Linked DNA regions of Ovis aries. The protein of the gene in region 2 interacts with the protein of the main gene of each other region in a pairwise test. Links are inferred from orthologs where the notes say so. Each region holds a gene or a part of one and is shown on either strand. Other genes may lie near its edges.

Region 1 (3,519 bases), on a different chromosome or scaffold from region 2:
CTTAGATAAGCTGATAAATCTACTTAAAATGTTCTTGTCAAATATTCATTGAGTGTGTGTTACGAGCCAGGACAGTGTGAGAAATGCTAGAAAAGTACAAAAAGATAAAATAGCTATAACTAAATAAGTTTAGTGCTTCAAGTAGTACTGTGGAGATAAGACATAACCAAATAACACGATCATTTGCTAAATTAAAGTTACATTAGTAAGTCATTAAGTATTTTTCTACATTATAGCCGTAGTATAGCTATGAAATTTAGATGCTAAAATTTTAGAATTATAAAGGGATGACCACAGAAGCTATATCTAGTATCTTTTTTCCACTTATACCCAAAAGGTTTAAATGCTTTATATGTCAATTTATATTTCCCTAAAAAGATCCCTTTTCTCAGAAATACATTTCATTTATAAACAGGAAAGTACTCCTTAAGTAATATTCTCAAAGTCTCTCACATGGAAACGTTGAAGTTTTATATTTTCCCATCAACTTCTCAGTTTGAGGCTTTAATATACCAGAAGATCATAATTTAAAAATAACTCAGTTTGTGAAATTATGACAAGTCCTGTCACCTTTTTCCTTTCTTACAATTATTAAAAATCTTTTAATTAACTTTGAATTTTTTCTTTTAGAAAACATTGTTTAAAAAAAATTAAATAAAGAGAAAACATTGTTAAAGTTCTACGTTTTCTGTTTTATTAGGAAATCCAGACTTGTCATTGTTTCAGTAGATAATATGCTTGTTAAAATTTAGGTATATTATTATTCTTTACTATGTAATTCAAAGTATAGCATATAAACTGTTTATTAGACATTATTTTTACACTTCTGTATATACTATGCAGAGTCCATTTTTTGTGAGTGAAATTCACAGATGGGACAAGTCACAAAAGCAAGAATGTGAACTTCTCTTCCATTAATGACATTAAAAGAAAAAGAGAGCAACAGATGTAGGTTTAAGATAAGATGACCCTAATTTTCATCTCATAAAATTTGCTCTCCTATTTGTGCATCTCAGTGTTGCATTTTCTTTTTCAATTATACTGTCAAAATGTTGGCTTATTTCTTCAAAGTTTTACTTTATACTTAAGCCATTTCTTAACTTCAAAATCTAAGGTAATATGACATTTGTTTTATTTTCACATTTTTGCCCCAGTAAGTTCCTTTTTTGTTGTTTTCTTTTATAGATACAGACATCAGTGAATCTGGCATTTCACTGAGAAGTACTGGCTCAGCAGCTTCCTTGGCTAGTCAGGGAGAGAGAAGGAGACGAACCCTTCCCCAGCTTCCAAGTGAAGAAAAGTCTCTTGAGAGCTCCAGAACAAAGGTTATAGCACAGAGGTCAGAGATAGGAGAAAAGCAAGACACGGAGCTTCAGGAGAAAGAAGCACCTGCCCAGGTATACCAGAAAGATAAACAAGACACTGACAGAGCCTTGAGTAAAATGAACAGGGCAGTAAATGGTGAGACTCTTAAAAATGGTGGAGATAGTAAAGCCCTGCTTCACTTAGGCAGCTCTTACTCTGGGAAGGAGAAAAGTGAAACTGATAAGGAAGCTTCTTTGGTAAAGCAAACATTAGCTAAAATCCAGCAACAAGAACAAAAGGAACAGGCACAGTGGACACCTACTAAATTATCTTCTTCAAAAACCATTGCGGGTCAGATAGATAGATGTAGGGAGGAGTCTTTTAAGCAGGAGTCACAGCCTCAAGAAAAAATTCCAGGACTTTCTGCAGGCAAAGGAGAAAGAGCAATACAAAATGAGGGTAAGAGAAGAAAAGCTGAGGAAATTCTGAAAAGTCAGACCTCAAAGGGAGGAGACAAGAAGGAATCCTCCAAGTCGTTAGTGCGACAAGGAAGCTTCACTATAGAAAAACCTAGCCCCAACATACCCATAGAACTTATCCCCCATATAAATAAACAGCCTTTATCAACACCCCCTTCCTTAGCATTAACAACAGCCAGCAGAATAAGAGAAAGAAGTGATTCTATGGATACTGATTCTAGTATGGACACGACCCTTATTCTAAAAGACACAGAAGCAGTAATGGCTTTTCTAGAAGCTAAACTGCGTGAAGATACTAAAACTGATGAAGGCCCAGATACTCCCAGTTATAACAGAGACAACTCCATTTCACCCGAATCTGATGTGGACACAGCTAGTACCATCAGTCTGGTTACTGGAGAGACTGAAAGAAAGTCAACCCAAAAGCGAAAGAGTTTCACTAGTCTCTATAAAGATAGGTGTTCCACAGGTTCTCCTTCCAAAGATGTTACAAAGTCGTCATCGTCGGGTGCTAGGGAGAAAATTGAAAAAAAAACAAAAAGTCGTTCTGCAGATATAGGTTCTCGGGCAGAGGGTCGTAAATTTGTGCAGTCCAGTGGAAGAATAAGGCAGCCTTCAGTAGATTTAACAGATGATGACCAAACCTCTAGTGTACCTCACTCGGCCATCTCTGATGTTATGTCATCTGACCAGGAAACTTACTCTTGTAAATCTCATGGAAGGACTCCACTTACCTCAACTGATGAGCACGCACATTCCAAACTAGAAGGAAGTAAAGTAACTAAATCCAAGACTTCTCCTGGAGCACCTGGTTCGTCCAGTAAATCCACCACTCTACCAAGGCCACGACCTACCAGGACTTCCCTCTTGCGCAGAGCCCGACTCGGTGAAGCTTCGGACAGTGAACTTGCTGATGCTGACAAAGCATCTGTTGCTTCTGAAGTGTCCACAACAAGTTCGACATCCAAACCTCCCACAGGAAGGCGTAACATTTCTAGGATTGATTTGTTGGCTCAGCCTCGTAGAACAAGGCTTGGCTCATTATCGGCTCGCAGTGACTCTGAAGCAACGATCTCTAGAAGTAGTGCCTCTTCACGGACCGCAGAAGCCATCATTAGAAGTGGAGCCAGATTAGTACCTTCAGATAAATTTTCTCCTAGAATTAGAGCTAACAGTATCTCTCGACTATCCGACTCCAAGGTCAAAAGTATGACCTCAGCACATGGCTCTCCTTCAGGTAAATTGGATCCAGACTTTTTATATTAGTGTATTTCTTTTATGTTTTGGGACTTCTTCTTTGAAAAATTGTTAGTGTCGATTCCCAAAATTTTCAGCAGAAAGATCATACTGTAGAGGGTTTTGTTCCTTAAAAAGTCACCTTAGTTAGCTTGAAAGTGAAGTGAAAGTGTCAGTTGCTCAGTTGTGTCCAACTCTCTGCGATCCCATGGACTGTAGCCCACCAGGCTCCTCTATCCATAGAATTCTCCAGGCAAGAATACTGGAGTGGGTTGCCGTTCCCTTCTCCAGGGGATTTCCTGACCCAGGGATCAAACTCGGGTCTCCTGCAATACAGGTAGATTTTTTACCTTCTGGGCCACCAGGAGGAAAATTCAGAAGTTATATACACTTCCATTTAAAGTCCTGGTACAAAATAGTGAATTCAAAATTTGAAGTATATTGAACCAATTTGAGAATTTTAATTGTCTACTTGGTGAGATATTTTGTTTTGTGTGTC
Region 2 (4,312 bases):
CAGGGACGGGGGAGCCTGGTGGGCTGCCGTCTATGGGGTTGCACAGAGTCGGACACGACTGAAGTGACTTAGCAGCAGCAGCAGCAGCCCCAGGCTGGAGACAACATGATCCTGAGCTGCCCTGAGGTCAGTCTGAAACCTTCATAGCATCTTAAAAGTCCATGAACATTTATGGACTAACTTCCAGTGCTCTGGTAGATGCTCCTGGGAAAACAGAGACAAATCCATGCAGCCCTTACCCTCCCTGGGTGACCTTGGGGAGATAGACAGCTCCATGGGAAGGAATTATCGGTGAAGGGCCTCAGTCGTAGTTCTTAACCGTGGTGCTTCTCCGACATGGTGGGACCCAGTGACACATTTGACCTGCAGCCACTGTGGAGGCGAGAAGTGACTCCAGACCAGGGTGGCATGACCTGCCAAAGACTTAAGGAGTGGGTCAGATTTGGAGAGGCAGAAAGGAGGGGGGATGCCACCAACCACTGAAGGGAATAATGGGATGTATGTGAAGCCAATTACACACATTATCTCATTTAAGCCCAAACAATGCCATGAGGTCAGTACTGGTGTCACCTCCATTTCATTTTGCAAAGATGAGACACAGAGACACACAGCAACTCATTCAAGGTCTTGCCACCAAAAGTGGTAGGCGGAGGCTACTTCCCTCTGACTTCCCATTTTTTCTCTGAAGCCACAGGTGTGCTTTGCCAGGTTCTGGGCATCTCCTGTGTGCTCAGTTTCACAGACGTGTCTGACTCTTTTGCGATCCCATGGACTGTACCCCACCATGCTCCTCTGTTCATGGAATTTTCCAGGCAAGAATATATGGGTTGCCATACCCTCCTCCAAGGGATTGTCCCAACTCAGGGATTGAACCTGAGTCTCCTGTGTCTTCTGCACTGCAGGTGGATTCTTTACTGAGTGAGCCACTGGGGAAGCCCTACCTTTTATTTATTATTTTTGGCTACACTAGGTCTTTGTTGTGGCACATGGGCTTTCTCTAGCTGTGAGCAGGGGGTTACTCTCTTGTGGTCCATGCGCTTCTCTTTGCAGTGGCTTCTCTTGTTATGGAGCAAGGGCTCTAGGGCGCTAGTGCTTCAGCTCAGTAGTTGTGGAGCATGGGCTTAGTTGCTCTGGGGCATGTGGGATCTTGGTTTGCAGACCAGGGATCGAACCTAGGTTGGCAGGTGGATTCTTACCACTGAATCAACAGGGATCCTGCATCTCCTACCCTTAATGTGGGAAAGCTCTCCTCCTTGCTTTTCCCCTCTAATACAGGGCTGGAGACAGACAAAGGGGAAGCTTGAAGTTCTGGCTAAAGAGTTAGGGATTGAGTTTCTTTTTCTCCTTCCTCAACCCTGAAGTCTTGCTCAATAGCAGCTGAGCAGTGGGGCTGCAAGGTTGCTTCACTTCTAGAAGGCCGGCCGCAGCCTTCCTGGCCCAAACCCACTTCCGGTCTTCGTGCCTCTTTTGTCACAAGGTGATTCTCACACTTCCTGTTGATTTCCACTTTGTTTCAGCTGCTTCAGCTCCAGCCACTTTGTGCTGCTGTTGATCTGATCTGCGAGGCCTGGGACACAGGACCAGGTATGTTGGGATGGTGGGGACTGGGGGGTCAGCTTGGATAAGGTCTGGGCCAGATCAGGGCCAGAGTGGGGGGCTCCTGGTAGACCCTTTCTGTCCATTGTGGGGGACTGTCAGAGGCTGGGGTCAGTTTGTGAAGTTGGTTATGTCCCTGTGAGGGATGGTACCAGGGGTGGCTTCCTGAAACCAGATCATTTGACCTCTACCCCCCTAAAATCTCATCACCTTGATTTGGTTGTGTGTTACGTGAGCTGCCCAGGTAACATTTTTCTAGGCTGTAGAGCGAGCTTCATCTCTGGGAGATGGCTTCTCTGGGATTGACTTCGACACAGCTGGTGTGATGCTTGAAAGTTTGCTGAGCTGACCGAGTTGGGGCTTGTGATTAAGTCCTGGCTCCTTGTCTTACTGACGGGCAATTCACTGTCTTCTGAACCTTTCTGGTCTACACAGTTCAAAAATGTCTCTGTTTTTTGGGATGTTGGTGATGCTTAAGCAGGATGATGATTGTGAAAGTGTTTTGTAAACTGTAAGACGGCATTCTCAGGGTGTGAGGTTACTTTCATTTTCTAAATGGAACTAGATACCTTTTTTTCCTGATTGTGGTAACTGGTGAAAATATAAACAAAGAGAAAGGGAAAATTTTTACATAATTCCAGCCCCAGAGATTATTAGTGACACTGGTATATAAAGTTCTACTTAAAAAATTGAATTTTTAAAAAATTTGATAAAATATACTGATTCAACGGATACGAACATGGGCAAACTCTGGGAGATGGTAAGGGACAGGAAGTCTGGTGTGCTGCAGTCCATGGGGTCACAAAGAGTTGGACACAACTGAGTGACTGAACAAGAACAACAAAATATACATGAAATAAAAATTAGTTTTTAAGCATACAGCTTAGTGGCATTAAGTACATTCCCATTGACATGCACCCATCACCAAGATCCATCTCCAGATTTTTTTTCTTCTCCAAGTGAAACTGTGTACCCATTAAACAGTATCTCCCTAGTCTTCCCCACCCGTCTCTGGCAACTACCACTCTACTCTCTCTTGAATGGAACCATACAGTATTTGTCCTCTGATGGCTGGCTTATTTCACATAGTGTAATGTCTTCAAGGTTCATGCATGTTGTAGCAGGTGTCAAAATTGCCTTCCTTTTTTAAAGTGAAAGTGAAGTCGCTCAGTCGTGTCTGACTCTTTGCGACCCCATGGACTATATCCTACTATATCCTATCAGGCTCCTCTGTCCATGGAATTTTCCAGGCAAGAGTACTGGAGTGGGTTGCCATTTCCTTCTCCAGGGCATCTTCCTGACGCAGGGATTGAACCCGGGTCTCCCACACTGCAAGCAGACACTTTACCCTCTGAGCTGAAAAATATTGCATTGTCTATAGACACCACATTTTGTTTATATCATCTGCTGATGGACAGGATTGCTTCCACCTTTTGGTTATTGTAAATAATGCTGCTGTGAATACGAGTGTGCAGATGGCTACTTGAGTCCTTGCTTTTAATTCTTTTTCGTATTCACAAATGGATTTGCTGAATCATATGGTAATTCTGTGTTTACTTTTTTGAGGAACTTTCAGAATGTTTTCCATAGTGGCTGTACCATTTTGGATTCCTACCAGCAATGTACAAGGGTTCCAATCTCTCTACATCCTTACCAACACTTATTTTCTGGTGGTGGTTTTTTTCTTCCTCCCAGGGGGTGTGGTATCTCGTTGTAGTTTTGATTTGTGTTTCCCTGATGATTAGTGATGTAGAGCTCCTTTTCATGTACTTGTTAGCCATCTGTATACTTCTCTGGAGAAATACCTGTTCAAGTTCTTGGCCCATTTTTAAATCGAGTTGTTTGGTATTTTTGTTATTGAGTTGTAGTAGTGGTAGTTGTAGTAGTTCTTTATATATTTTGGAAATTAACTAGACTTCTAAAACAATATTTCTTGTGTCAAACTGTATTTACTGTTCTCTAACCATTTTTAAACTTGTTTATTTATTGGCTGTGCTGGGTCTTTGCTGCCTGTGGGCTTTTCTTTAGTTTCGGGAAGTGGGGGCTACTCTTCTTTGTGGTGCTTGGGATTCTCATTGCAGTGGCTTCTCTTGTTGCAGAGCATGGGCTGTAGGGCATATGGGCTTCAGCAGTTGTGGTGCGCGGGTTCAATAGTTAGTGGTTACCCGGCTCTAGAGCTTAGGCTCAATATTTGTTGCGGGCAGACTTAGTTGCTCTGCAGCATGTGAGATCTTTCCGGATCAGGGATTCAACCTGCGTCTCCTACACTGGCAGGCAGATTCTTTACCACTGAGCCACCAGAGAAGCCCTCTTTTTTTCACTTAGTATCACTTGAGTATCATCTCATGTTAATTTATAAAATCTTCCTTGTCCTTCCTAACAGCTGTGTAGTATTCCAGTGCTTGGATTATACTATGATTTATTAAATGAGTCTCCTGGGTGTTTAGGTTGTTTCCAGTTTTGGGCATAATGATAAAACAATGCTGCAGTAAACATCACTGAACATACGTCTTTGCATATTACTTCTATAATTTCCTTAGGATAAATCCTTAATAAGTTGAGTGCTGGGTAAAAGGTTATACATATATTCACAGTTTTAATTCATTTGTCCAGATTCCTCTAATAAATGTCATACCATTTGTTTTAAATTTCATATCCACTTTTATTAAGGCAATTACAAAGATTACATTGAAGAATAGCAATTCCTTGCCTCATC

What was found. The genes of interacting proteins can lie anywhere in the genome.
Region 1: the proteins of NDEL1 (region 2) and CEP170 interact in a two-hybrid assay, tested with the Homo sapiens proteins (2 studies listed by BioGRID and IntAct). The link is inferred for Ovis aries from reciprocal best matches to the Homo sapiens genes NDEL1 and CEP170.

What each region holds. Positions count from the first base shown.
Region 1 is NC_056065.1:33,253,035-33,256,553, forward strand, and holds part of CEP170 (centrosomal protein of 170 kDa), read left to right. Parts: intron 1-1,185; coding exon 1,186-3,021; intron 3,022-3,519.
Region 2 is NC_056064.1:27,824,376-27,828,687, forward strand, and holds the start of NDEL1 (nuclear distribution protein nudE-like 1), read left to right. Parts: upstream 1-1,493; 5' UTR 1,494-4,312. UniProt on the Homo sapiens protein: Required for organization of the cellular microtubule array and microtubule anchoring at the centrosome. May regulate microtubule organization at least in part by targeting the microtubule severing protein KATNA1 to the centrosome.